Linked DNA regions of Caenorhabditis elegans. The protein of the gene in region 3 interacts with the protein of the main gene of each other region in a pairwise test. Each region holds a gene or a part of one and is shown on either strand. Other genes may lie near its edges.

Region 1 (7,574 bases), 850 kb from region 3:
TCTGCAAGTACGCCCCATTGAGAAAGTATGCAAAAACCTTTTTTTTTTCGTTTAAATTTTAAGGGAACTAAATTAACCGCATTTCAAAACACCCGAAAAACTCAATTTTAAACTTAAAAATATAAAAAAAAATTCCCGCCGATCGCAAGCTGCAAGTGCGCTCTAATGAGAAAAATAGGATAATTTTGATTTTGAGGGGGTATTTGAGCACATTTTGTTATTTTTGAAAATGAAAGTTTTCTTTAAACCTAATTAACTAAAATTTAAACTCAAAAATTTGAATTTCCACTGACCGTGAGCTGCAAGTGCGCCCCATTGAGAAAATACGTAAACAATGTTTTTTCCAAGATATTTGAACTCAACTAACCATTTTTAACTAAAAGTTGTGTTTTAAAACACCTAAAAACAAAGTTTTCTTTATGAAAATTCAAATTCATGCCGACCGCACGTTGCAAGTGCGCCCCAATGAGAAAATACGCAAAAACTGAGTTTTTACTGGAATTTTCACGCATTTAGCTATTTTTTGAGCGCAAATTGTCTTAAACTTATTCGAAAAACAAGTTTTCTTTTTAAAAAATTTAAATTCTCGCGGACCGCATAATGCAAACGCGCCCCAATGAGAAAATAACTGGAAAATCGATTTTTCTTGTGATTTTCCAACAAAACCAACAATTTAAACTGTTATATTTATTTACCAGTTTTGCTAAAACCAAAAAAGTGCAATTTCGAACTAAAAATTCAAATTCCCGCGAAATTGCTGGAAAATCACGGTTCAGCGAAAATTTAAAAGGAATCGATAGAAGTTAATGTGAAAACAAGAGAAACAAGTTTTCCTATTGAAAATTCAAATTGGTATGTTGCAAATGCGCCCCAATGAGAAAATTGCTAAATTTTCAGGTTTTCACCACCAAATTTGTTGCAGAGTGTTCCCACAACAAAAAAGCAATGAAAAGCAGTGGAGGAAAAGCTCCCAGGAATCAATTCTCCCCGAAAACCTATAAAACTCAAATGAGCCACTTTAATTCCGTCTCATTTGATATCCCTGAGACGTAGACAGCCGCTGATTTTTATTTTTTAAAAAGGTTCAGAGGGGGGTAATCATGAGAAGAACGAAAAAAATTGGCGGCAAAACACAAAAAGAAATAAAAAAAAAATCGAAAAGAGACACACAAACAAGTCTATAAACTGTACGAGAGGGAGAGAATTAGAGAAAAATAAATTTTGCAACCAAAAAAAAAAAGACAATTCAGACATCCTCCCCCGAATCGGCTTTTCCCGAAATTGGTGTGCTAACAAATTTGTGACATTTCCCGTTTGGATGGGCCTCGTGGTACTTGGTCGGGTCGAATTGCGATACAATCAGCGAGATGAAATCCTTGGCGCTCTGGAAATTCAAATTTATATAAGGCTACAAGTGCGCTCTAATGCGAAACTCACCTCATTCTCGAGCATTTCCATAACCTCGGCGTGGGTGGTGGTGTTGGTCACGAAGGTCCCATCGATCGCCAAGATACGGTCGTTCACACGGAGCTGGAAATATGAAGTAGGGGTACTGTAGGGAGAGAGTACTGTAGGGAGAGGGATACTGTAGGGAGGGTGATGTAGGAATAGGGTACTGTTGAGAGAGGATACTGTAGGGAGTGGTACTGTAGGCAGGGGATACTACAGGGAGAGATACTGTAGAGAGCGGTACTGTAGGAAGGGGGTACTGTAGGGAGGGGGCACTGTAGAAATGGGGTACTGTAGGGAGAAAATACCGTAGTAAAGGAGTACTGCAGGGAAGGGCACATTAGGGAAGGGGTACTGTAGGAAGGGGTACTGCAATAAGGATGAACTGCTAAAAGAATACTATAGAGGACTGGTACAGTAGGGAGGCAGTACTGTAGGTAGGGGTACTGCTGGAAGGTTACCGTAGGAAGGGTACTGTAGGCAGGGGTACTGTAGTAAAGGAGTACTGGGGAAGGGGTACTGTAGGGAGGGGTACTGTAGAAGTGGGGTACTGCAGGCAGGGGGTACTGTAGTAAGGGTGTACTGTAGAAACGGGTACTGTAGAGAGAAATAACTGCAGTAAGGGGGTACTGTAGGGAGGGGTACTATAGGAAGGGAAAGGGTACTGTAGGAAAAGGGGTACTGTAGGAGTACTGTACCTGATCATCGTCCGCCATCGACCGCTTCAACTTCCCAGTGACCACGACCGGACGGAACTGATCACAACCTCCCTGAATAATTCCATTTCTTCAAATTTTTTGGCTTTTCGGCACCAACCGTAATCTCGAGCCCAAGCCCCTGATTGATATGCTCTCTCATGAGAATCACGAGCCGCGGAGAGCTCTGCCAATCGTCTCCGTTCTCAAATGCAGCATCACCAAGGTCCGACGAGTTGATCCTGGAAAATTTTTTGATGCTCCAACAAGTTCCCACAGAAATCCATCACCTACCGATTGATGAGCCAAAGCGTGTTGAGACGCAACAAGCGGTTCTCCTTCTCGATCTCGTCCCACAGTTTCGATTTGACGGCCGACTCGATCGTTGCCGCGTTGCGCACCAAATCCATCATCTGTCGCATTGCTGCCAGCTCCTGTAATGAGTCTCATGGGAAAGTGTGGGGAGGGGACATGATCATGTAAAAAATGATGATGCGTAGGGGCCAAAAATCTAGAAAAAAAGTGGGGGAAATGTCATGGTGCATCGACAAAATGTTTAGGCTGAAGCTTTGGCTTGGGTTTTGGCTTAGGCTTAGGCTTAGGCGTAGGCTTAGTATTAGGCTTAGGCTTAGGTTTAGGCTTATGCTAAAGCTTAGGCTGTGATCTAGGCTTACGCTTAGACCAAGGCTTAGGCTTAGGCTTACGCTTATGCCTAGGATTAAGCTCAGGCTTAAGCTTGGATTAAGGCTTAGGTTTGGGTGTAGGCTTTGGCTGAGGTTTAGGCTAGCAAAAAATGTGGCCAAAGTGGAAATCACCAATTTTTGGGTAACCAGAGCTACCTGAACCTCTACCCCACATGGTGCATCGACTAGGTAGAACCGTACCCTTGCGTAGAACCTGGTTGCCATGAGATGCATGACACTCTTCTTGGACACCTCATTGATATGCTTCGCCATCCGCTCGTTACGCCGCTTCTCCACGTTGAGCTTAGCCTCCACAAGACGGTGCTCCTGGATCCTTTCCATATTGTCACCGACTTCTTGTTTCTGAAATATTAAGCGTTGAAGTAGGCAGGTAGGCACGAAAGTGCCTGCCTGCCTAGTACTTGTAGGCACCTAGGTAGGTATAGGCAGGCAACATTCCCTCACCATATCATTGAAAATCTGCCTGGAAGTCGCGTCTCCCTGATGATTCGCGGCCAGCAACAAGTGGAACTGCTGGATGACGTCATCATGGGCTTCAGCTATGGCACGAAGCTCCACGAGCTCCTGGAGACACTCCTCACGCTCCTTGATTGCCAATTTCTTAGCGGATTCTTCACTGGCGGACAAAGTGCAAACCTGGAAAAATAGTTTGTGATAAATTAATAAATTATCGATTTTTCTCGTCATTGCCAAGTTTTCAATAACCGAGAAAAAGGAGTTTTGAAGTAACTATTGGAAACTTTTCAAATTCCCGCCACAGTTTTGTACCGGGATACCGAAAAGTCGATACATTATCGATTTTTTCTAAAATTTTTAAACTACCGCCCGACCGGGATTTTAAAGAAACTTTATACTAAACAAAATTCAAACCGTTTTTCGATATTTCGAGCCGGATAGCTAACAATTTTCACAAAAATCGATGATTTCTTACTGATTTTCAAAGCGAAATTTTTAAATTCCCGCCTGACCACGCCTACTTTTAGTCAGCGGAATATCGGAGTGTCGTTGGAGTGCGACGAAAAATCAATAATTTTTTGAATGACATTTGCCGGAAAACTGACATTTTTCCAAAAAATCAATATTTCTCCCAGAATTTTCAAATTCCCGCCCGACCGGAAGATCATATTACCTGCGTAAAAACATTCGAAATTGCCTTCAAATGGGTAATCCAGTCGTCCTTCTCATCGGAAGCCAGCGCCTTGGACATTGCCGTATTGAAGACAGCAGTAAGACGATTGATTTGTTGACACGTCATTTATTGATTTTTTTGCGGAAGAAAAATCGATAAACTCAAACAATAAAAGATTTTTATGCAAAAAGTTGGAAAAAGCCAAAAAAAAATCCAATGAGTTGGAGGAAATGACGTGGCAATTAGGGGGAGGAGGAAAGTCACGGGAAAATATACAAAAAAAAGTTTTTTTTTTGAAAAAAAAATTAAATAAAACCCGTCAAAAAATTCCACATTTTGGAGGTCACGTGCTGCGTGATTCATCAGAATTGTTGGACGATCGGCTTGACGTGGGCTCTTCCATACTGTAGAGGTTGTAGCTAAAACAAAAATTTAAAAATTTGACTGGGAATTCGAATTTTCTGTTGAAATTTGGCCGAAAATTTGAATTTCCCGTCGAAAAATTAACTAAAAGGTTGAATTTCCTATAGAAAAACGACAAAAAATTGGAATTCCCCGCCGAAAAATTCATTAAAAAGTTGAATTTCCCCCAAAAAATAGGCTGAAAAATTGAATTTCTTGCCGAAAATAGACAGAAAATTTAGAATTTTTTGTCGCAAATTGACTAAAAATTTGAATTTCCTATAGTAAAACGACAAAAAATTTGAATTTTCTATTGAAAAATGACCAAAATTTTGATTTTCCAGTTGAAAAATTAACTAAAAAATTAAATTTCCAGTTAAATGTTAACTGAGAATTTGAATTTCCTCCCTAAAACTGACTTATAACTTGAATTTCTAGCTCAAAATCAATTGGAAATTTAAAAATCCCGCCTAAAATTAACTGGCAATATGAAAATCCCGCCAAAAATTAACAGAAAATCAAAATTTCCAGCTGAAAATCGATTGAATATTTAAATTTCCCGCTAAAAACTAACTGGAAATTCAAATTTCCCGCCGAAAAATTCCCAATAACTCACATAGATCCATCGCTGTGCTCGATCGTCACCGTCCCATCATCATCACTATCCTCATCGGGGCACACAAAGACGAGCTCCAGGTCTAGGTCGCCTTGCTGTACCTGGAATTTGGAGGGGATGTAGGTGGAGGGCCCCTGGCAGCATCTTACCTGCCCACTCAAAATATCCACTGCCTCCTGATGCTTGACAGTCCGAAGATCGTAGCCGTTTACTGAGAGAATCGCGTCGCCCACAAAGACCTGTCCACATCGGTCAGCAGGCTGTCCCGGCTGGATTTCAGATATCACTATGGGTAGAGCGTGTTCGGATCCTCCCTGGAAATGGATTTTAGGATCCAGTAGGATTTTTTAAGATCTTGAAGAACTAGGATCCATCCGGAGCTCCGCAAACTATCTGGAGTAGTTTTGAGCTATGCAGCAGAACTACAAAAGCAGGGGTTGTCAGAGTGTCTCATTTTAGATTGATCTACATTGATCTACAAAAAATGCGGGAAAAGAGACGCAGACTTTTCAACTGACTGGGAGAAAAATTCCCGCATTTTTTGTAGATCAAACCGCAATGGGACAGCCTGACACCACGTGCAAAAGTACCTCATAATCAGATGGCACATTTGGTCTTACGGGAACTGGATCAACTCTCAGATCTTACAGGATCCCGTGGATCCCCAAAGGAACAAGTCTAGTCAATGATCTACTGGCCCAAAACCATCCAAGTCCCCCCACCTACCGTAATAGAAATGCCGAGCCCTTCGTGCGGGTGTTTCGAGAGCACCACTTTCCTGCTCTTTCCCACTCCATTTCGTTTTCGGAGGCTCTTGAAGTTGTGACGAAGTGGCGCCGTTAATCCCTTCGTGTTACCCCGTCCTCTGCAAGAATGGCAAATTGTTCAAGTGGGGAGCGGCCATGGGAAACGTGACCGCCTACCTGCAAGCCCGGATCACTGTCTTGTGCCTGTGGAGGTGAATTTCGGCTTCCAGCTGGTTCCAGAGCCTGTCGTGCTCCACGCCGCGCATGTTTCGTCCCAGGAGCTGGATTTGTTGTATCCGGCCTGCGAGTTCCTGGAAGATTAGGGTATGTAAAGCCTTGAAGCCTTAAAGCCTTAAAGCCCGATGGCCTACCTTATCCAGGTACTTTGCCGCCAGCCTGGCCCCGAAGACCTCAGTCTCCAAGGCCTGAATCGTCCGTTTTGACCGATCACACTCCTTTCTTGCAATTTCCAGCTCACAAACCGTGCTCAAACCCTGTGTAAGCTCTGATCGAAACTGTGTCAGCTGGGTCTCCAGCTTCTTCTTAATCATGTCTGACTCATGCGGCGCCGTCTTGGAATGCAGTTGGCATTGTAATGAGTGAACTTGGATCATCAACTGCTCCACTTCCTTCTCCATGCTCTGTCGAGCGGCGCGGGCTTCCACGACCTCGGCGCGCATTGTTATCATTTCCTGAAAAAATTAACAATCCAACTTTTTTCAGCAAGCCTAAACTCACCTTCTCCTGTTTACTAATTGTGTGCATCATGAACTGACACTTGTGCATCATTTGTGCAAAGCAGGCGCTCAATGACGTCATCTTCTGCCGGCCCTCGTAGGTGATCTCAACCTGGATACGTTAGGATTTTGTGGACCTGGGCTTGATCAGGTGGCCTGAAGTTCTAAGCTCTTACCTGGTCCGAGTCGACTTCTCCTAGCAGGAGATCCAGTGAGACGAATGCTTTGTCGAAGTCTTTCTCCAATGATTCTGTCCATCCTGAGCCACCTTCCATCTGGAAATTTTGAGGTTTTAGGGGTAATCAAGGGGAGGGCAGGGTTCCGATCAAAGTTTGGCTGAGTTGAAAGGATCAAGGATCCCGGCTAGTCATTAGAAAATTTGACGGCTCTGGCTTATATGGCCTAGCTGAGCAAACTGTTGTGAAAAGAGCCCTGATTTGGAATAAGGAATAAGATAAGCTGATCGGACCAAAAATTCGGGCCTAAATGGGCAAATACTTGGATAAATATGATTCAGGCTAAGCTGAAAAGGGCCCGGTCCAGTCAGTTGTCGTTTCAGACTAGGCGGGAAGTTTCAAGGTACCGGGCCTAGTTTAGCTCAACAATGATAGGCTTCATAAGTCTAGGCTAGTCAATGGGAAATCTAATTCGAATTATTGGTTTCCAAGAACGGATGGATCAAGGATCCGGGTTTAGCTAGGCTTGGTAGACTCAAACCAAGAGGATAAAAAAGCCGGGCTTGACTAGGCTTAGAACCTAGAAAGCCCAAATCACTCACCGCAGAAGCTTCACACTCAAAATACTCAGACTCCGGGTCCACCCTAAGCACAGTCTGGGCCTGAAGCCTGGCGCCAGAGCAAGCCGCACAATGGCTCATTTTTTTAGTAAAACACTAGTTTCGGGGTGATGATGATGATGATGATGATGATGATATGTGTGGAGAACTGGGTGTGTGTGTGTGTGTGTTTGTTGGAATAGGGTGGAAAAGAGCCGTCGGGGGACACCGGATAATCCAATTGTCGTTTTCTTCCCGTCTTTTCTAGAGAAAGGCGTCGGGGGGCTCTGTGAGGAATAAGAAGATGCCTCGCTCGTTTTT
Region 2 (6,844 bases), on a different chromosome or scaffold from region 3:
AATTATCCGTAGAGCGTATTTGCAAGTTTAAAAAAAGATTATTAGCATTGGAGCGCGCTTGCAACCTTAAAAATTTCGAAATTTTCAGAGATTTCATCACAGAAGCCGAAGAGAAAAGCCTTCTCGTCGACGTTGAGCCACACATGAAGCGTCTTCGGTACGAGAAGAGCCATTGGGACGATGTAGGAGTTTTTGATCATTTTTATGAGGAAAACAGATTTAAAATTTACAAAATTCAAAAAATGATAGTTTTGTGAAAAAAAATTTATTGAAAATCTCGGATAAAATATGTTTTAATCCAAAATTTGACATAAAATTTGAAATTTAGAGTTCTCAGTCAATAAAACATTACTGGTGGCTTAGAAATATTATTCTAGGCCATCAATATATTGTCGATGACCTAGAAATTAAAATTTTGGATTTCTAGGTCATCAATATAGAATTGGTGGCCTAGAAATAATATTCTAGGCCATCAGTAAATTGTCGATGGCCTAGAAATTGAAATTTTGGATTTATAGGTCATCAGTATAGAATAAGTGGCCTAGAAATCGTGTTCTAGGTTTCAGATGAATTCATGGCCTAGAAATACCTATTTCGAATTTCTAGGCCACCAGCAAGCTTCCCGTGGCCTAAAAGTCTCCCATATTTTCTAGGCCATCCACCTATACCGAGAACGTGAGCAACGAAAATGGCGAGACGAGAATCTCGAAGTGATCTCCCGCATCCGGAGTGAATCGTTCGGCGCCAACACCGAACATTTGACCTACGTGCATATTTTGGATCTACACAAGGACGGTGTCATCAAACCACACATTGACGCGATTCGAGTGCGTGCAAGTTGACCAGGGTTCTGGGCTTCCTCATCGAATTTTTCGCGCTCTATTGACAATCCCCCGCCGGACAACGCGTGGGAAAGTCGTGTACTCCACACGGACAAATACATTTAGTTTTACAACTAAAATCGAGCCGCGACGCGACACGCAACGCGCCGTAAATCTACCCCAGATATGGTCGAGCCAACATGGCCTAGTTCGGCAATTATTATCATTAGAGCGCATTTAAAACTTATAACTCAAAAATATTCAAAAAAAATCCGAAATTTTCAGTATTGTGGTGACGTCATCACGGGTGTCTCCCTGCTCTCCGACGCTATTATGCGGCTCCGGCACAAGGATCAGAAGGATGAACTGATTATGGATCTTCTGATGCCTAGAAGAAGTTTATATCGATTAGGGTGAGTTTAGCCATAGAGCGAACTTGCTCACCACATTTTTAAAAAATCTAAAAAATTCGAAAATTTCAGCGGTCCCGGACGATACGATTTCACACATGAGGTGCTCGGCGAGCAGGAAAGTGTGTGGAACGGAGAACAAGTGCCCAGGGAGCGAAGAATATCGATTATTTGTAGAGATCTTCCGAAAGTGGCGAATCGGCAGACGGCTGAGGAGGAGATTAAGCTGAAACCGATTCCTGAAGAAATTTAATTGTTTTTATTACCTGTGGTTCTTAGAATAAATTGTTGCAATTAATAAACAATTAATTATATTTTTGTATTTCATTATTATCTAGAGGCGAAATATTGCGATTTTAGCGCCAAACATGGTCTCGACACGACAGATTTTTGTTAAATGCAAAAAGGGGCGCGCCTTTAAAGAGTACTATAGTTTTTATCGATTTTCAGAGAAATTTCAAACTACAGTACTATTTAAAGGCGCACAGCTTTTTCGATCAAACCAGAATTTGTCGCGTCGAGACCTGGTACCGTATTTTGGCGCAAAATTTAGCTTCTGGTTAATAACACAATGTTATAATAACTTCTCCAGCACAGAAAATTAGCAGTATTTGAAGGTACGAATATATTACGGAAACACAAAATTCTAAGAATACGTACTGCGCAACATGTTTGACGTGCAAAATATCTCGTAGCGAAAACTACAGTAACTCTTTAAATGACTACTGTAGCGCCTGTGTCGATTTACGGGTTGTTCTATCTTATCGATAGAGAAGCTTAAAAATGAGAAAATATTGCAAAGAAACTAGTGAAAATGGAATATCGCTCGTAAATCGACACAAGCGCTACAGTAGCCATTTAAAGAATTACTGTAGTTTTCGCTACGAGATATTTTGCGCGTCAAATATGTTGTGCACTACGCATTCTCAGAATTTTGTGTTTATATAACAAATCAATTAAAAAACATGTTTTATTAACAACTTTCCCTCCGCATCCAAACCCACATAAACAATATGAACACATTTCTCTGTTTCTCGTGCACTTTTGTCTCGTTCTCTGGCCCCTCTCACTATTTCTTCTTCAACACCTTTTCTCCATTTTTTCTTATTTTTGTCTAGCAAGCGAACAATTTTCTTCGTATTTTCGAAAACTGACTTTTGCCACGTGGAAGCTTGCGAGAAATCGATATTTTCTCAAATCAAAATAATCATTTAAACTTTTTAGAAGCATGAGCTCATCTAGTAGAACTCTCCACCCGGGAAGCTATGCGTTCCAGGAGGAGACTCGGCGTGATCTCGAAAGGCTGGCGCAACTTAGTAAGTTGGTTAAATTTTGGCCGAGGTTTCTCTTTCACGGCCACGAAGAAAAAAAAACAATATTTTAAACCAATTTACTCAAATTTTGGCAATTTCCCTAATTTTGGCAATTAACCATAATTTACTAAATGAAAAATAAGGTAATTATGGTGAATTGCCAAATTTTGGTAAATTAGTAAATTTTCCATTTCAGACCAGAGCACTTCCAGGAAAAGCCGTGACCGATACAGAAGATCTCCGAATAGGAGTCAGTTTTTTTTTCTAAATTAAATTATTTTTATAATGTCAATGGGAGTAGTAAAACTTTTTAAAACACCTTTTTTCATAATTTTGAAATTTGATCAAAAAAGTTATTATTTTAATCGATTTTTAATTATTTGTGTTTCAACGTTGTAGCTTTTTCTCAAAAATTTCTCGAAAAGTACGCATTTTAGGAAAATTAGGTAGTTTACCAAAACTTGGCAAACTGGCAATCTACCAAAATTTGGCAATTTACAAAAACTGGCAATTCCCTAAAATTTACCAATTCACCAAAATTCGGCAATTTTCCAAAACTTGGCAACTTTCCGAAATTAGGCAATTAACCAAATTTGGCCAGTTTTCCAAAATTCGGCAAATTTACCGAAACTTGGCGATTTACCAAAAATTGACAATTAACCAAATTTTGCCAGTTTTCCAAAATTTGGCAATATTCCAAAATGTGGCATTTTTCCAAAATTTACCAATTTACAAAAACTTACCAGTTTACTCAAATTTGGCAACTTATCAAAATTTGGCAATTTGCCAAAACTAACGACATTTACAAACTTACCAAAACTTGGCCGTTTCCCAAAATTTATCGATATTTGTAAGTTTTCTACCAACAAAACCCCAATTTCAGACTCGAACCGCCACCATCCTTACCATCCCAGTTCTCAGCCTGCTTTTGCTCCGTTCAGAAGCTCCCGTGAGTTAAAAAAAATTGTTTCAAAGAAAAATCGAAAATAATTCTTCAGAGTCTTATCGCCCGAGAGAAAACGAACCTGAGGAAGAAGCCGGTGGTAAGTGCGGTTATATTTTTAATTTTTTCAAAAAAAAAATGTCTAGACAATTTTTAAATCTTGTGAAACGTCTAGCATAGGTCCAGGGCACATTGAAAACTTTCTGAAATTTTAGAAAAATCTGCAAATTCAGATTTTCGCCATCTCAGGTCTTAATAATATTCCAAAAGGCGTTTTTTTTTTCAGGCCAGTCATCCTCAAGCTCAGCATACGAAGCCCCAGAAATGGAGAGACAGGCGACGTCACCGGGTAATTTTCAAAATTTTGAATCAATTTTCTAAGCATTTTTTTACAGAACTGGATTACGCACAATATCAAAACAGAAGTAAGCAATTTTTTAAGTCAGGAAGTCTAGGTTGAAGATTTAAAAAAATCAATTTCAGGCCATGATGATGAAGTGATGATTCTAGAGAATGAGCCAAAAGAGCAATACCCGATGCCCACGGAGACGGTGGAGCCAGTTACTAATGGTAGATCAAACGAAAATATTCTTCTCAAGTTTCCTCCAATTTCAGAAACTGAGCCAGAAGTTGCAAACTCCACTTTTGAGCAACAAAAGAGAGAGCTCACTCGTGAGCTGGAAGACTTGGAACTAGCGAAACTCAGAGCCCAAATCCACCACGAGAAAGCTCTTATGGAGATTGAGGAAGAGGAAAGAAAGACAAAGCTTGAGTTGAAGAAAAAGTCGCTGGAATTTGTGCAGAAAGAGTTGCAGCTGAAAGTGGAAGCTTCTGCACTGAAAGATTCAGAGATCAAGCTGGCAAGGATGGAGGCTCAGAAGATGGCTCGACGATATGAGGACGCGTACATTGAAGACGAAGAAATAACTCTGAATCCAGTAAGTTATCAGATTAATATAAGTTTAAAGGTTTTAATCGAAATAAAAAAATTCAGCAATCAACTCCGGAACCTCTTGAAAAAAAGTCCATCTCGACTAGTCGCCAGCGAAACCAGGTTTATGGGCAATCTGGAAACTTTTTTAAACTTACTATTTCAGATTGCTATCAAACGCGAGCCGGTAGAGACGTCAGCAAGGGAATTGAGACCACGGAATACTCTCGGAAAATGGCAGGGAAGAAATTCAAAGGTGGGACTCTCTTTTCGAGGTCGTGCTCTTAAAAAAAAACTTTTTTAAACAAGATTTTTTTCAAATTGTTTTTACAAATTTTTTTACAAAAAGAACTCAAATTCAAATTCGAGTTCAAATTCGAGTTGAACTCAAAATTTTCAAATTTTCAAGAATTTTTCAGATGGAGTAAGGAATTGGCTTCTTCATGGCTCCTAATCTTCTTTTTGGTTTTATTATATTCTTGTTTTGTAAAAATGCATTTTCCCTCCTTTTTCTCAATTTACCACCATGACCAAAAATCCCATTGAAAATCCCATTTCATTAATCAGTATTCACTTTTTTTCCCCACACTTCTCTCATTCTATTCAAGTAAGTATTTTCTCACATGCAAATTTCAATGTCTGAATTTTTATTCAATTCTTGTTTTTTTCTGTTCTATGATATAAACATTGGTGAATTAATTATGCGGATTTTTAGAGGACGTTTTACTGAAGCACATGGTCACAGGGCGATCAAAGAAATTGTCGGCGTAAAGTTAAATTTCCGGCAATTCTGCAAACCGGCACTTTGCCGATTTGCCAAAAAAAATTCGGCAAACTGTGGGTTTGCACATTTTTTCTGGAAATTTCAAAAAAAAAATTCATGTCAAAATTTTGAAAAATCAGTCAATTTTATGAACGCCGGAATTTTTTTCAACTAATATGACTACTAAGCCGAATATGACTACTAAGCTACTAAGCCGCAGACGATTTTTTCCGGCAAATCGCCAAACCGGCAATTTGCCCGTTTGTCGATTTGCCGAATTTACCGGAAAAACGGCATTTGCCGAAAATCTTCGGCAAGTTGTGGGTTTGCACTTTTTTTCTGGAAATTTAAGAATGTCAAAAGTTTGAAATATCTATGAAAACATCTAGAGAAAACGGAAATTATTGATTTTTAAAAATCCCTTTAAAATATTCCGACAAGTTGATATCCGGCAAACGGCAAATTGGCAATTTGCCGAGATAAGAATTTATGGCAAATCGGCAAATGGACAATTTGCCCTGATGTGTACCTTTTTGACCAAGTAGCAAGTAGAAGCTGAAAATTAAATTCCGGCAAGTCGGCAAATTGCCAAAATTGAAATTTCCGGCAAATTGGCAGAAATGCCATTTGCCGATGTGCCGAAAAATTTCGGCAAACTGCAGGTTTGCACAAATTTCTGGAAATTTCTGAATTTCAAAGTTTTGTAAAATCAGTAAATTCTATAAAAATATGTAGAGAAGTTCAAGTATTTCCGTCTTATTAAAAATCCCTCGAAAATGTTCCGGCAAATAACCAGGTATCAAGTAACCAGGTATTACAAACCCTTTAAAATATACCGACAAGTAGATATTCGGCAAACGTCAAATCGGCAAATTGCCGAAAATAAAAATTTCCGGCAAATCGGCAAATGGGCAATTTGCCCTGGTGTGTACCTTTTTGACCAAATAGCAAGGTGAGGCAATAGGTGTGCTCACGGAGCAATAGAACATTTCTTTCATTCAATTTACAAGAAAAAACATGAATTTCAAAAAAGTTCACAGCTGTTAGGCAACAGTTCCCCAGTTGGACTTTGCGTCGTTGATTGTCTCGTTGTCGTCAGCCGGACGCTCCTTCATCGGTGGTTCTGCAAAAAAAAAAGTAAGTGCCGACAAAATCCAGGTCCACGAACACAGTTCAGTAGACATCCATGGATCTATCGCGGCTCTGTTAGACTCCGCCCAAAAATTGCTAATATAGAACCCACCTTGGACTTCATTCTTGAGAAGACTATTAGCATCTCCAGCTCCTCCACTACCTCCGCCGGCACCGCCAGACTTGTTTGCCGATTTGGCTCCGCCCGGAGTTGGCCCACCGGGTTTTCCGTCGAGGTTACGTGGCTTCAGTTTTGCCGCTTCGTTCTTCTCTTTCTTGCACGAGACGAGAATCGACGCAAGCACGGTGATGGATATGAGGAGTTCAATGAGCATTTTTTTCAAATTGTCACGTGTTTGAGCGTATCCTGGAAATTGTCATTATTTCACAGATCGACTTTGCCGCAGTACTTCAAAAAGTTTTAAACAACCGAGTTTTGAACAATTGAGAAAACTAGGCCATCGATTGTTTAGCTAGGCCGCGCTGTAAATGCCCGCCGGCCGGAAAGCATACAACTCGGCCACCTATGTTT
Region 3 (8,583 bases):
AACCATGTTTAGAAACGGTTATCCGTAAACTTTTAGCTGCAAGTCTCCATAATCAAGCTCACGACATGCTCTTAAAGACATCTAAAACAACACTGTAACGTAGCACTTAGGGATCAATATTCACTTCGGAAACTCATGTCTCCGCGGATTTTGATGGAAAAGTTATCAACTTTACACGTTTGGAGTTGAAAGTTTTTTATCAAAAAAATCTTTGTTTGAGATTAAAGCATGTGAAGTGCGGTAAATGTTATTGTTAAATATGTTAATGCTGTTGATGCAATTTTTATGCTTATATCTGGAAAATTTTGAAAATTGACCCATTACAAAGGAAGTAGATGAAATTAATCTCAGACTTTGACATGACATGGTATTTTTCCGATCAAATAGTATTATCCATACCAAAATCAGAGATTGAGTTCGTCTACTTCCCTTGTTAGTGTTTGCAGTTACATTGTTGTTTTCGCTTTCTTTGAGCGTACGCCGTGAACTTGGTTCTGAAGATTCGCCGCTAAAAATTTTCAAATCACCGTTTCTAAACATGGTCTATCGACTGACATAAGTCTCTTATGCTATTCCTCTGAGCACCTTCACATGTTCCCCTCGTCAGTGGTGTACAAACGCGCTCCACTGCTAATGCATTTGATTCTCAGCGCGCGCAACCAAATTTGTTTTTCGCGCGCTCTCCTCCTAATTTAGGCCTTTTTTCTTGGCAGTGTATCGATTTTGTTCGTTCGTTGAGCGTTGCGCGTTCATTGTCATTATAGAATCGTATATAAAGCGAATAGAATCAGTCTATTCGCTTGGAATTTTTAACATAGCCTTCCAAAATTTGCTGCACCATCGTTTCATTGATTTTATCCGTGTTTCTTGAGTCATTCGTGCGTGATGTAAGAAACTGGACTCTAAATGGACTAAGCATTTTTATACTGATTGTGACCGTCTAAATAGCTTTTTTTATTCGACTTGTTTCCAATTCGGAAAGAAACTCCATTTTCTGTTCGATTTTTTAATTTTCTCTCTTGTCTCTTACATCTCAACTTTATTTTAATGCCTCTACCTTCAGACTACATCCTCAATCATGCCGTCTATGGCCGAAATCTACGTCAAAGAGCTCAGAGAGAGGGATCCAGCTACTGTCGATACTCTATTCCTCGACAACGCTGAAGATGGACAAATCGGAGGACTCACCGACCAGCTTATCAACTTGGAGATGCTCAGCATGGTGAAGTGCGGACTCACCACACTCGCCGGGTTCCCAACTCTTCCAGCTCTTACCTATTTGGATATCAGTGACAATCAGCTTGGAGACAACGCTTCGTTTGATGTTCTTGTGAAAAATGCTCCAGATCTTAAGAAGATCACACTCGCCAGCAACAAGCTCTCTTTGGATAATCTCCGGTGCTTAAAGGTTCTTCCAAATCTTTTCGAGCTCGACTTGTCGAATAATCCAAGTCTCGGACTCCTCGAGGACTATCGTGAGAAGATGTTCGAGATGATTCCATCGCTGAAGATTCTTGATGGATGCGATGTTGATGGAGAGGAAGTTGAGGAGGAGTTTGCCGGTGAGGGAGGAGAAGACAGCGAGGAGGGAAGCGGCGATGAAGATGGACCCGGACTCAGCTATCTCGAGAAGAGCCAGTTCTCCGACGACGAGACTGACGATTATGCTCCAGAGGTTAGTTTTCGGACTCATATTTCAGAAACGTATGTTCTTAATTTCAATTTTTCAGGGAGGAGACGCTGAACCACGTGGGACAAAACGTGGAGCTTCTGATAACGGAGAAGAGCCAGACAACAAGAAGGCAGCTGGCGACGACGAGTAAACTTCGACGCCTACGGACTCATCATCTCAACCTAATATATTTATTTCAAATATTTTTTCCAAAAAAACTTCCCTCATTTTCTTTATGGCTGCGCTGTACACTAAACCCCAACTTTAATGATCTGAAAAACTGAACCCAAACCACCAGACACTGCAACAACTTTTTGATGAATAAAAAATCTTTAACATTAATCTATCGTTTTATTTTCTTTTGTGGCTTTTGTGTGCATTCTATACCATATTATATTACTGAAACACTGAATTCTGAGAATGCGTATTGCGCAACATATGTATATCTTGCAGCGAAAACTACAGTAATTCTTTAAATAACTACTGTAGCGCTGATCAGATTTTACGTTGTTTATTTTCTAATTTTTTGATGAAAACTATAAAAAAGGCATCGAATTGACAAAAAACACGAAAAATTAGAGGAAAATTAAACATCGCCTGCCACAATCCTAAAAACAATTTGTTTCGAAAGTATCAGCTACAGTAGTCATTTAAAGAATTATTGTAGTTTTCACTACGAGATATTTTACGCGTCATATATGTTGCGCAATACGCTATTAATACGGATTCTCAGAATTTATTGTTCCCGTAATAGTTCTGCCTGTGTGTAGCGCAAACTTCAAAAGTCAATAAACTCGAAATTTGAAAAATTGCCAAAAACGAGACTCCGAAATAACGGGCGCGCGTGTTGTTTAGCGCTTTCAGTCCACATTACTTTTCCCCCACATTTCTCCCAATTTGTTAGGTTTTGCTCATATTTTCCCACATTCGAAGTATTGAGAGTTTATTTTTCCATAAAAGAACCGATTTTCTTCCTAAATCCAGCTGTGCGGTCATTTTTCACGTAGGCATATTTTTTCTCACAATTTTAAGGATTTCTGCGTTCTTTATCAAATGAAAGGTCCCATTTCTTCCAATTTTTAGGTTTTCTGGTTCTCTGCGTTCCATCTTTGAATGAATCTTCGATTGTATTTTTATATGTAGGTTTTCTACTTTCATGTCTAGACATGTCTCCCAATAACGTTGATTTTCTTTTAGTTTTTAGGTTTTCTGCGTTTATTTTCATTAAGAATCAAATTTCCTCTTTCAGAAATGTCGAGAAAACGAAAAATGTCACAGTCGAAAAAGCCAAGCTTACCACGCCGTCCAATTATTCAAAATCTCACATTCATGGGAACTGAATTGGGATGCCCATTGTTAGTTCAGGACATGGATTCCAGTAAGACTAACAAAATTAAAAGAAATAAATAAATATATGTGTATTTCAGTGAACAAACGTGGTGAAGAGCCTCCGGAGAACGCTGACGTGAAGCGATTCATATCGTTCGCCACAATTCCAGCGTGTTGTCTGCATTCAAAAGGAACCGGCCAAGACGCTCAGTCAGTAAATTTACATATTATTATTGCAATTAAATCAATTCTTTTTAAATTTCAGGTCCGCAGACGAGTCGGCAGGTTACGCAATGCTCGACTTTTTCAAACTTTACATCTCTAATGGATTCAGAAGTAAACTTCTCAATTGTGCAAGTGATGAAGAAGTAAAAGAGTTGATTCCTCAAGTTCAACCACTTTTTGAACAATTCAAAGCTGCAATTGCAGCTGATTTTCTGTCGATCAGCAGAGTTTGAACGTCATTTCGAAATTTTGATTTAAAAAAGTTTTTCAGTGCACTCAATTCGAGTTGACTCCAGCAGCGAGGGCACGCGGAAAAGAGCTTAAAAAGCGTGTTCTGACAAATTTAAAAAACGCGGGAGTTGGATACACAACGGTTACTCCTAAGAAAACTTTAAAAAATGATGATGATGACGTGGAAGAAGACGTGCCGAATGAAACAGTGGACCCCAGTGATGCTCCAGGATCATCATCCAGTGATGATATTGTTATCGTTAGAGAAGTTGCGAGCGAAGCATCGCCCAAACTTCGCAAGATGCGAGAAATGGACGGAGCGAAGAAGAAGCTCATCGAAGAAGCTACAATGCGCCTGGGGTACTTTAATTCTGCGATTTTTGTCAAAAATTGTAATGCGAACCCGCGACGCAGATTAAATTGCTGAAAATTCATGTATTCCCGATTTTTTCGCTGGTTGTTCTGAAATTACGGGAAAATGCGTAATTCTAGTAAAAATAGACTCAAAATATTGAGTATAGTTACTAGGATTTTTGACATGTTAGCAAACCGATATATATCTAGCTAAACTTAACATTTAATTTTAAAATCCGTTGGAAATTAATTTTTTTAAAATAAAATAAAATACATGTAATGGGGTTATTCAAGTAATATAGCAAAATGTATGTAAATACATTTGTGACGTCACAAATGTATTTAAATACATGTTTTTATATACTTGAATACAGTCGTGACGTAATTTTTCTAATTTTCCGACACTACTTGAATAACCCCATAAGGTACAAAAATTGCTGCTAATCGTCTTTCAATGAAATGCTATTTTTTTAGTGAAAACCGCCGATCTCCATCTCTCGACTCTGACACCTACTTTGGAGAATGTCAACAGCTGCTTCACGGTCCAACAGAAGTCTACTGTGCCCGTCCCGAATCGAACCAGTTTGTCCAGCAGTACGAAGAAGCGAATTCAACTGAAGCATCTGAGGATGAAGACAAGGAAGCTGTACCGATGAAGCGTGCTCGAGTGGATATAGAAGAAGACGACGACGACGTCATTGTTCTGAATATGACCACCTCTTCTGGAGTTTCGGATAAAAAAGGTAAGTCAGAAGTCCAATCGCAGGCTTCTTAATGAAAAATTCAAGACGTTTCAGGTTCTGAGGACGAAATAGGTGATATAGTTGACGAGTGGGATGCAAATGACGAGGAGGAGAAGACTGACGAACTGGAAGAGCTTGAAGATGACGATATTCAGATAATTGAGGCAGGGGATCAAGGAAACGGTGTAGAAGAGGTCTCAAGCACAGTGATTTCGGTGGAGACTCCCAACAGTTCTTCAGATGAGAATAAGATCTACAATGGTACAGTTTGAGAGAAATGTATTCCTCACCTTACAGTTTTTGGTACTTGTGTATTACATGTCCTCGTTTTTAAAGTATTTTTAAATTATAAAAAATAAAAACGTGTACCATAGTTTTGTATCTGTAGGCTTAGGAAAGAACCATTTCTTAGCCTAAAGAGGAAAAGTGCATACAAAATTAAATTTAAATGGAGAAATTAATGAACATTTCATCTAATTTAAAAAGGATGACATGTAATACACAGGTACCCAGTTTTTGTTGAAATTCGAGGTGGTTACTGCAAGGAGCCAGAAAACACGTTAGATACAAAATCGGCCTGAGAGAAAATTATCAACTTTTCAGGCGTTTAAGGCGAAAAATCATACATTTTTAACACCAACACAAAAAAGATTGCTCCGAAATCAAAAATTGTAGGATCCTCCTCGAGGAGTACACGAATTGCGTATATCGACACTCGCCCAACTGTTCCATTTTCAAATATATAATACAAAATTATTTCCAGGCCACCAAACGCATCAAATTTTCCGAGAAGTTCGCCAGTTGCCAGTCAATTATCAGGCACGAACCATCGGTGTAGTGCTCAACGAGCGGATCGCTGGCTCCGTCGAGAAGTTTGTGAACTCGATCACCAAAAAGTCGTTCAATTCTGTCAAACAATTGTCTAAATTGGCATGGGATCACTACCTGGGAAATGCACAACCGGATTTTGTGTTTCTCAAGAAAATGGAGGCTCGTCAAAAGCTATTCTCGGAGATCAAGAAGCTGTTCCCTGACACAGAGATCAAGCTCCAGACAACTGGCTCAACAGTGAACGGATGTGGATCTTTCAACTCTGACATGGATCTTTGTCTATGCTTTCCGACAAATGGATATAAAGGACAAGTATGCGACGATTTTCACTGCGACAGAAATTATTCGACGAAAATTCTTCGCAAAATTGATAAGGCGTTTCGAAGATCGCATTGGAGCCATCCTCTGAAGAAGATAATCAAGACAATGCAGCTGGTGCCGGCGAAAGTTCCAATTGTGAAAATGATTTTGAATGGAGAATTTGATGGAATTGAGGTTGATATTAATGTTAATAATATCGCAGGAATATACAATTCACATCTCATTCATTACTATTCATTGTTAGTTTTTTTCTCAACAAAAAATCAGATATTTCAAAATTTCGGCTGAATTTAGATAAAATCTTCAATTTTGTAACCGAAAAAATTAAAATGTGTGCCAAGTTTGAAACGCAATTATGAAATTTGCAAGATTTGTTTCTATTTTCAGAACGGATGCCCGGCTCCCAGCTCTGGCCCTACTCGTGAAGCACTGGGCGATGGTTACTGGAATCAATAACGCACAGGACGGATTTCTGAATAGTTACACGACGATTCTTCTCGTTGTGCACTATCTTCAATGCGGTGTCACTCCAGCAGTCATTCCGAACTTGCAATACTTGTTCCCGCACAAGTTTGATCGAAAACTTCCGCTTAATGAGCTTCTTCTGTTTGGCGATATTGCGGACAAGTTGCCCAGTAATTTGAAGTGCTCTTTTTATTATCTGTCTTACTAAATTTAACCATTTTCAGCAAGTCCTCCCAACACGTGGTCGCTTGGAGAGTTGCTCATCGGATTCTTTCAGTACTATAATGAATTCGATTTCACTAATTTCGGATTTTCAATCCGCTCGGGTCAAGTCATTCCTCGGGAAAATCTCCCCCGTGATCTCATCAACAGTCCGATTGTCGTTGAGGAGCCGTTTGATGCGATCAACACAGCCAGGTGAATATTGGAAAAAATGACCGTGTGTCGAGGATAAGATTATTCAGTTTTTGGCTAAAAATTGATTTTGAATCAATTATTTTTTGTGTTCACGCTCAACTCAACATCTAAAATAGTATAGATGGTTGATTATAATTCATAATACCAAAAAAGAAAACATCAATTTCCTGTCTCACTTCAAACACGGTTTGACTGTTAATCACTGAAATATAAGCTAAAAACTAAATTTTCAGAACTGTACGCGATGTTAGCCACATGAAATCTATCAAATCCGCCTTCCGCTGTGCCGTCCAAATAATCTCTTCAAATAAAAATTTTACAATGCGTGATCTCGGTGTAAACGTCACAGAATTTGACTAAAAAGTTAATTTGTTCTTTTTTTTTATTCGCTTCTTTTTTCTTATAGTGTTCGTATAGTGTTAATCAATACATACTTTGTAATATTATTTAATTGGAAACGCACAAAAAAGTCGATAAATTAAAAAGAAACTCGAATTACTCTTTAATTCAGGTGTCTGAAGTCAGGAGAATCACAGATCGATATTTAAAAAGAGAAGTCATTTGAGCTTAGACGACGGCCTCGCGTTCAACAGAGAATGGAGTGTCGACGGCGATGTGTCCAGAAGCGGCGATGATGACGTCTTGCTTCGGGCGGTCCCCAGGAAGCTTCTCGGTCTGTTCGATCTTGCGGACCACATCCATTCCTTCGAGGATCTTTCCGAAAACGACGTGGCGTCCATCGAGCCATGGGGTCTTGACTGTGGTGATGAAGAATTGGGATCCATTGGTATCAGCTCCAGCGTTGGCCATCGACAACCATCCGGCTCCGTAGTGCTTCAGCTTGAAGTTCTCGTCGGCGAACTTCTCTCCGTAGATAGAGCGTCCTCCGGTTCCATCTCCACGGGTGAAATCTCCTCCTTGAATCATGAAGTCTGCGATGACTCGGTGGAACTTGCTTCCTGGATATCCTTCTCCCTGAAAATTAAAAAAAATATTTTGAAACTCGATTTCTTGAGCTGCAAACCTTTGGCTTCTTGGCGAGCTCAATGAAGTTGGTGGCGGTCTTTGGGACGGTTTTTCCGAAAAGTCCGATGACGATACGTCCGATTGGTTTTCCTCCAATTTCCATGTCAAAGTAGACCTTGTCAGTGACCTTTGGTCCTTTGGCATCGTCTCCCTGAGCAAGAGCTCCGACAGCGAGCACGGCCGCCACAACAAGAAGCGACTTCATACCTGCAAAAATTATGGTGTTATATTGCGAGCAAAAAAGTTTAAAAAAAAGCAATAGTAAGAAAATGTAAATAGTAAGAAAAGCAATAGTAAGAAAAAAGCGAAATATCGAATTGTTTGATAACAATAATTAAATACCACATTCGAAAAGACATGGTGATAAGAGTACATTAGACATTTTATGTTTAAAAATGAAAAAGTAAAGCCTTAAAAATGAAGAAATAAATACAAAACAGTTACCAGCAGGAACAATTGAGATGAGTTTTCTGAGAATGACCCGTGCTGAGAGGGAAGACGAAGAAAAAGAACACGTCAGCACACATAAACCACACGGTGCAACGTGGATAGAGCGATAGAGAGGGCAAACTGCAAGTGAGTGAGTGGAGGGTGACGAGAGAAAGAAGGGGAAACCGAGTAAAAGGTGACCAGTGACCATTTGGTAAATGTATAGGACAGGCGGTATGGTGGGGTGGTGGTAGTGTGGTACCAAATGCACACAAACAACAGCGCAGTAATATACTCGGGACGAGGGGGGGGAGGTGAAGACGAGACGAAGATCGATTGGCCTTGACCCGTTAATCGGAGAATGTGATGAGTGGCCGGACGCGAGGCGTCACTTCGGGGCTTTCAGTGTTTTTTGATCGTATGTTGTCTGGAAAAATCGATTGTTGTAGTGGAGAAGGATTATGATTTTAGATTTCACACGGCCCGAGAAGTGGTACCTGTACGCAATTTGTCTACCGTATACCTGGACGTTTGGGCGCG
Region 4 (6,357 bases), on a different chromosome or scaffold from region 3:
ATGGAAATCATGCATAGACGTATGTGTAAGATGTAGACAGATTTAGATTAATTTATAGTTATTATTGTACATTCAACGTTTTCCGAAACTTCTACCTAAAGACGCATGGATTTATTGAGATGGGTCTCACCACGGGAAAAATTATGGAAATTTATGTTAATTGGTTTTTAAGAACGGTTTTGCATAAATACGCGTATTTATACACACTCTTTAGATGATTGAAGAAAATCTAGAAAAAATTTCACGCTCAAAAATGCAGTCTCGACAGAGGCCCCACGAAAAGGGGAGCAGAACAAAAAGGGGATCTGCAAAAAGGGGATCTGCGAAAAGGGGAGATACGAAAAGGGGAGATACGAAAAGGGGAGCACCTTGCCGTAAAGATAATGCACCAGCGGGTCTCGAAACTATCAAACCTTCGCAGCTACAGTAACCCAAGAATTTAGTTTTTTTTTGCAAAATTTGGCGAGTTTTAGAAAAGGGGAGCTGGCACTGTGCCAAACGCACAAAACGCAATTTTTCTCACGCAACGCACGTTGATTTTTGAAATTTTCTTCTAGAAGATACGCTTAACAACACGCGACGCGTAACATCGGAGCATCGTTGTATCGTTTTCTTCGAGAAAAATAGCGTTTGGCACAGTGCCAGATCCCCTTTTCGTTGCTCCCCTTTTCGTATCTCCCCTTTTCGTATCTCCCCTTTTCGCAGATCCCCTTTTTGCAGATCCCCTTTTCGTTCTGCTCCCCTTTTCGTGGGGCCTCTCTCGACACGATCGAAACTTCGTAGCCACCGTACCCGCAAGCGTTTTACTATTTTCTCCCTTCTGTATTTAAATTTTCAATTAATTTTATAAATGTTAAAACTATAAATTTCTTGAAAAATCATGAAAAACTCGCCAAATTTTGCAACAAAAAAAAACTAAATTCTTGGGTTACTGTAGCTGCGAAGGTTTGATAGTTTCGAGACCCGCTGGTGCATTATCTTTACGGCAAGGTATAATGTTTCAGTATTTATCTCAGTATTTTTTTTTTCAATTTCTGTTGTATTTGTATTCGTGGTAAGACCCATCGGAACAAATCTGTGTCCCTTTGAGAACGCGTTTCAGAAAATTTCGAAGCTACGATATTATTATTGAGTTGAATGAATGTGTTTTTTGAATTCTTGGAACATATTTTGAAAGCTCAGTTTTTGATTGATTTAGCATGTTGAGTGATGTCTGAGTTTTTCGGTTTCCGTGGTAGCGCGTTCATTTTCCTGTGTTCTAGTCCTAGTTGCCTTGTTCAGATGGCTTCCAACGTGGATCTTCTGGAGATGCTCAAGTGACTGCTGCACCGACAACACAAGCTACATTCACACAACAGTTCGTTTTTCACATATTGTAATGTCGGTAATATTGATTTTTTCCAGACCAACGTTCCAACAAACATTCCGACCAATTCCTGCGGTATTTTATATTTTCTTTTACTCTCTGATCTATATTATAATTGCAATTTTACAGCGTCCACGACAGCGAATTGTTGCTCAACAGCCACAATCTCCATTTAATCGTCAAAATGTGTTCATTTCAAGAAGACGTGGACAGAGTAACAGTTTTGCTGCTCAGCGGCAAAATGTATTCCAGCAGCCACAGCCGGCTTTCGGTGGCGGACGTATGTTTCTAGATCTAGGATATTGTCGAATCTTTTTGAATCTTCAGAATGCGCTGATCGTGATCCTCAAGGAAGATGCAGTCAGTGGCGTCAGTTCTGTGCTTCACCATCCCATCAGCAATACTTAACGGCGTTCTGCGCAAGAACATGCGGACTGTGTCGTCGTCATTGAATTCGTTTCTTGAAGCATATTGTTTCCTAGGGTCTCTCAACATTTTGCTCACTATTACTAAAGATCCGCTAGGCTTTTCCAAACACACTACGAGTTTCTGAAATTTCTGTATGACAGACAAAAATAATAAATCATTTTTTAAAGGAAACTTCTTCTAATAATTCACTTACACATACTACCGGAGAAATTAAACGATTAACTGGGAAACATGCCATGAAAAATGAGAAAAATAAAAGCGAAAATGGCTGTAGTGAAGAAAGAAAGAAATAATAAAATTATGACCTAGTTATACGCTATCACTTCGAGACTTTACGGAGTAAATTCGGGGGTCAAAATGGGTAGAGGAAGATGGTGAGATGAATTGGGAAACAATGAAAAAGCCATCGTTTAGAGAAGCATCGTGTGTGGCTTCTCGAGGAACTCCTTGAAGTGACGAAGCCAGACGGCTCCAACAGCTCCATCAACAGTCCTGTGATCGCATGACAATGTTACCTTCATAGTCTTAATCTTCTTATATCTGAAATACAAAAACTATATAACTCGATAAATTTCCTAAAAACTCTTACCCTTCAGCCTCGTCTGGGACCAGCTTATCAGATGCTCCTCCGATAGCCAAAATGCATGATTGTGGTGGGTTGATGATCGCGGTGAAATCAGATACAGATCCGAACATTCCGAGGTTCGAGACGGTGAAAGTACCTCCTTGGAACTCATGAGGCTGCAATTTTCCTTCGCGTGCTCTTTGCGCCAATTCTACAATTTCTGAGGCAATCGTGGCGAGTCCCTTAGCGTGAGCATTGAAGATAATTGGAGTAATAAGACCGGCTGGGGTGCTGACAGCTACAGAAACATCGACGTGATGATTCTCACGAATGAACGAGTCCATCCAATAGCTGTTGGCTTCTGGAACTCGTTGACATGCAAGAGCAGAAGCTTTGATGATAAAGTCATTGATTGAGATCTTAGTGGCTTGTCCCGATGTTCCCTTTGCAAGAAGACCGTTGAGCTTTTCACGAACCCTGAATAAGGGTAATTTTTGGAAAGGAAGACTCGGGTTTATTGTTTTAATAATTTAAGAAAACTCACTGAAGAAGTGTATCCAATTGAATTTCGCTGGTCAAATAATAATGTGGAATCGTTGATTTGCTTTCGGTGAGTCTCTTAGCAATTGTCTTACGCATGTTCGAAAGTGGAATATCGGTATAATCTTGACCAGATACGGCTTGAGTTGTGGTTGAAGTAGCGCCCTTTGCTGGAGCCTGGGAAAGATCCGAAGCGAGAATACGTCCTCCTGGTCCACTTCCAGAAACTCCGCTCAAGTCAAGGCCATTTTCAGCAGCAAGTTTCTTAGCGAACGGTGAAGCAGAAACTCTTCCCGATGATGAGTGTGGAATTGGTGCGGACTTTGGAACTGATGGTGCTTGATACATTTGTGCTGGGGGAGATGGTTGCGATGAAGCGGCTGGTTTTGCTGGCTCTGGAGCTTTCTCGGCTGCTGGAGCGGATCCACCAGATGAAGCACCATCGTCCTTGAAATCCTTGAAGGCAGCAACGTCAGCCTCGTTGTCGACGATAATACAGAGAAGCTTGCCAATTGGAACATCCTTCGATCCTTCCTGGATGAGAATCTTGGCAAGATATCCTTCTTCCGGAGTTTCGAATCCCATAGTGGCCTTATCGGTTTCAATCTCGCAGAGCAAATCTCCTTCACTAAGTTGATCTCCTTCTTTTTTCTGCCAGCTTACAACAGTTCCGAGTTCCATAGTTGGAGAAAGTGCTGGGAGAGCTACCCGATTGTGCTTTGGCAGATTTCCTGAAAAAAGGAATTAGTGGACAACCAGTTGGAAAATATAAATAGGAAAAAAGTCTCACCACTGCTATAAAGGCGAACTTGTTTAATACTGAAAGCTGCAGCATTTGGATATTGGCGAGCTACTTGTCCAACAAGTCCTGAGCTTTTGGCGGCAGCTCCGGTGCTGAGGGCCCGACTCGATTGTGTGAAACCGATGTTGGCGGCAGAAATAGCTGCTGTTGTCGAGGGACGAAGCCCACCAATCGTTCTCAACGGCACCGGGAACTTCGACATTACCTGAATATTTTTCAGTTTAAACAAAATTATACTTGTAAGAAAACGTAGAAATAAGATATTTAATACACATTTGCAAACAACAATAAAGAATATAAAATTGTAAAGTTATTAAATTTTAAATGGAATGAAAAGCTAATTTACAAGAAAACTTTATCATCTTTCTGCATACTCGCCTGATTTTCGTAGAGTTTTTGTTGCAATAACTGATTAAAAACTTTATCACAGACTGATAAAACGTCAGAATTCCTGATCAGAAAAGAGTGTTCAGAAAAATGAGAAAAGAAAAAATTAGACGGGGACAACGACACTCCGTTTTAAACACGCGCGCCTTGTTTATCACACCGATTTTTTTTTATTTTCGCGACGAAAAAAAATGTTTTTGATAGGTTTTCCCAAGAGAAGTGTGTTTTCTAATGTGTTCTTTTTGTAAAAATTGTATTTTATAACAGAGATGACATCTTCGATCCCATTCCGTTCGTTCAACGAGAAATATGAGTGTAACGACGATGATAATTTCACCTACTCAAGCACTGAACAGGTTTGTAACCCCGCCATGTAATTATCATGTACGATTATGAGTATTTCAGAAACGTATTGAAACAATGCTTTTCGAAAACTACAATTCACTGGTGTTAGAACCATTCAAGACCACAAGCGACGAAGATCTCGCCGAATTGACGATTTTCCGTCAGAAACATGCCTCGTATTTGCTCAGATATCTCAAAAACTGCCCGTCGAGCTACGCAGTAAGTTTGATTTGTGAGAAGTGGTTTTTAACATTACAATTTTTAGACCTTAGACGCTAGTCGTTCATGGATGTGCTACTGGGGAGTTAATGCACTTAAAATTTTGGACGCAGAAATTCCAAACGATGTTATCGAAAACATTATTGTTTTTCTTAAATCTTGTGAACATCCAGAAGGTGGCTATGGTGGAGGACCAGGACAATTGGCTCATTTGGCTCCAACGTATGCCGCTGTCATGTGCCTAGTGTCTCTACAAAAAGAAGAAGCTCTACGATCTATCAACAGAGTCACACTGTTCAATTTTTTGAAGAAGTGCAAGCATGAGAGCGGAGGATTTTATATGCACGAGGGAGGAGAGGTAATAATTTATTAATGAATATCTCTGGCAATGGTTCAAAAGCTCTAAATGTACTGAAACTCCTGCATAGACTTGATGAAGTCCTACTCAGAGTGAAACTTCTACGTACTCTTGCATAGAACTTTAGGATCCTTGCTGCACACTCTACGAATTGCCTCTAGTGTTGTTTTTTTTGCCAGAGATATCATAAAAATTCTGAGCTATCGAAAATTGAACATTTCCAGATCGATATGAGAAGCGCCTACTGTGCACTAGCAACATGCGAGATTGTGGGCCTACCTATGGATGAGATATCAAATGGTGTGGCCGAATGGATTATCAGCTGCCAGAGCTTTGAAGGTGGTTTCGGAGGAGAACCGTATACAGAGGCACACGGAGGATACACTTTCTGCGCGGTCGCCTCGTTGGTTCTGTTAAACAGGTCAGTTATTGTTATCTTTGAAAATGAGAAGAGACAGACCATCACGTGAACACCACATGTTCTTTCTTATAAAATCATATCAATTAAGTTAGTTCAGAATTTGAAATAAGATCATTGATCCTGATGATTTCCAGATTCCGTCTTGCTGATATGGAAGGTCTCCTTCGTTGGGCCACGCGCCGGCAGATGCGATTTGAGGGTGGTTTCCAGGGAAGAACAAATAAACTTGTTGATGGATGCTACAGCTTCTGGCAAGGTGCCATCTTCCCACTTTTGGACGGAGAAATGGAACGAGAAGGCCGATCATTGGAGAAAGGTCTTTTCGAGGCGCGAATGCTTGAAGAGTACATTCTTGTTGGATGCCAATCAGTACATGGAGGATTCAAGGATAAGCCGGACAAGCGTAAGATCCAGTTTTTATAACTAAAAATGACTTCAATTTTCAGCCGTCGACCTGTACCATACATGCTACGTTCTCTCAGGATTATCAGTTGCTCAGAAGTACTCTCTCGCTCGCGATGGGAAAATACTTGGTGGTGATGTTAACATGCTTGCTGAAATTAATCCAGTTTTCAACGTGACCATTGCTTCTGAACAATTTGCCAAGGAGTTCTTCACTTCTCATTGATCGTTCGATATGTATCCTTTCAATATGATTTCATTCGTTAATCTCGCTTCTTAAAGACGTCCCATATACGAGTTTCTTAATTCATATTTGCCTAAATTATGTTTTCCACCCGATTTTTTAAATATTTTTGTATAAAGTTGTAACAAAATTTTGTTTTCTGCTTCAAAAATTTCATAACAAGTTAACTTTCTCTAAGTATTTATTTTATGTCAATGTGCTATATTTATTAAACTGTATTTTTAAACAATTTAAGATTATTCATTGTCAGTAATGAAGCTGAAAAAACGTCCAATGAAG

Evidence for each region.
Region 1: the proteins of gldr-2 (region 3) and ZK849.1 interact in a two-hybrid assay, tested with the Caenorhabditis elegans proteins (one large-scale study listed by BioGRID).
Region 2: the proteins of gldr-2 (region 3) and Y46G5A.15 interact in a two-hybrid assay, tested with the Caenorhabditis elegans proteins (one large-scale study listed by BioGRID).
Region 4: the proteins of gldr-2 (region 3) and dlat-1 interact in a two-hybrid assay, tested with the Caenorhabditis elegans proteins (one large-scale study listed by BioGRID).

The regions. Positions count from the first base shown.
Region 1 is NC_003279.8:14,181,541-14,189,114, forward strand, and holds ZK849.1 (PDZ domain-containing protein), read right to left. Parts: upstream 4,168-7,574; 5' UTR 4,056-4,167; coding exon 3,978-4,055; intron 3,485-3,977; coding exon 3,293-3,484; intron 3,191-3,292; coding exon 3,029-3,190; intron 2,579-3,028; coding exon 2,439-2,578; intron 2,387-2,438; coding exon 2,266-2,386; intron 2,220-2,265; coding exon 2,148-2,219; intron 1,531-2,147; coding exon 1,438-1,530; intron 1,385-1,437; coding exon 1,247-1,384; 3' UTR 1,055-1,246; downstream 1-1,054. Other genes in the region: gopc-1 (Golgi-associated PDZ and coiled-coil motif-containing protein), read right to left, coding at 4,321-4,396, 4,996-5,096, 5,145-5,309, 5,722-5,860, 5,919-6,052, 6,113-6,433, 6,480-6,590, 6,655-6,753 and 1 more.
Region 2 is NC_003280.10:12,781,022-12,787,865, reverse strand, and holds Y46G5A.15 (uncharacterized protein), read left to right. Parts: upstream 1-2,449; 5' UTR 2,450-2,459; coding exon 2,460-2,547; intron 2,548-2,740; coding exon 2,741-2,794; intron 2,795-3,427; coding exon 3,428-3,493; intron 3,494-3,542; coding exon 3,543-3,587; intron 3,588-3,773; coding exon 3,774-3,836; intron 3,837-3,882; coding exon 3,883-3,912; intron 3,913-3,970; coding exon 3,971-4,057; intron 4,058-4,102; coding exon 4,103-4,425; intron 4,426-4,481; coding exon 4,482-4,541; intron 4,542-4,584; coding exon 4,585-4,674; intron 4,675-4,837; coding exon 4,838-4,846; 3' UTR 4,847-5,130; downstream 5,131-6,844. Other genes in the region: alkb-7 (Alpha-ketoglutarate-dependent dioxygenase AlkB-like domain-containing protein), read left to right, coding at 89-182, 654-827, 1,107-1,234, 1,304-1,484; Y46G5A.34 (uncharacterized protein), read right to left, coding at 6,225-6,304, 6,425-6,647.
Region 3 is NC_003279.8:15,033,454-15,042,036, forward strand, and holds gldr-2 (PAP-associated domain-containing protein), read left to right. Parts: upstream 1-2,555; 5' UTR 2,556-2,811; intron 2,812-2,915; exon of another isoform or gene 2,916-2,921; 5' UTR 2,922-2,923; coding exon 2,924-3,050; intron 3,051-3,099; coding exon 3,100-3,211; intron 3,212-3,266; coding exon 3,267-3,453; intron 3,454-3,497; coding exon 3,498-3,817; intron 3,818-4,285; coding exon 4,286-4,554; intron 4,555-4,599; coding exon 4,600-4,815; intron 4,816-5,317; coding exon 5,318-5,945; intron 5,946-6,093; coding exon 6,094-6,341; intron 6,342-6,395; coding exon 6,396-6,588; intron 6,589-6,821; coding exon 6,822-6,948; 3' UTR 6,949-7,034; downstream 7,035-8,583. Other genes in the region: F33H2.3 (Acidic leucine-rich nuclear phosphoprotein 32-related protein 1), read left to right, coding at 1,079-1,675, 1,731-1,823; cyn-5 (Peptidyl-prolyl cis-trans isomerase 5), read right to left, coding at 7,156-7,563, 7,613-7,819; bltp-2 (FMP27/BLTP2/Hobbit GFWDK motif-containing RBG unit domain-containing protein), read right to left, coding at 8,432-8,470.
Region 4 is NC_003283.11:14,443,384-14,449,740, forward strand, and holds dlat-1 (Dihydrolipoyllysine-residue acetyltransferase component of pyruvate dehydrogenase complex, mitochondrial), read right to left. Parts: upstream 3,908-6,357; 5' UTR 3,905-3,907; coding exon 3,691-3,904; intron 3,632-3,690; coding exon 2,905-3,631; intron 2,838-2,904; coding exon 2,385-2,837; intron 2,336-2,384; coding exon 2,206-2,335; 3' UTR 1,940-2,205; downstream 1-1,939. Other genes in the region: F23B12.4 (ShKT domain-containing protein), read left to right, coding at 1,282-1,357, 1,405-1,441, 1,496-1,646, 1,694-1,818; fntb-1 (Protein farnesyltransferase subunit beta), read left to right, coding at 4,359-4,445, 4,495-4,653, 4,700-5,011, 5,236-5,432, 5,567-5,835, 5,879-6,060; F23B12.7 (uncharacterized protein), read left to right, coding at 6,331-6,357. UniProt on the Caenorhabditis elegans protein: The pyruvate dehydrogenase complex catalyzes the overall conversion of pyruvate to acetyl-CoA and CO(2).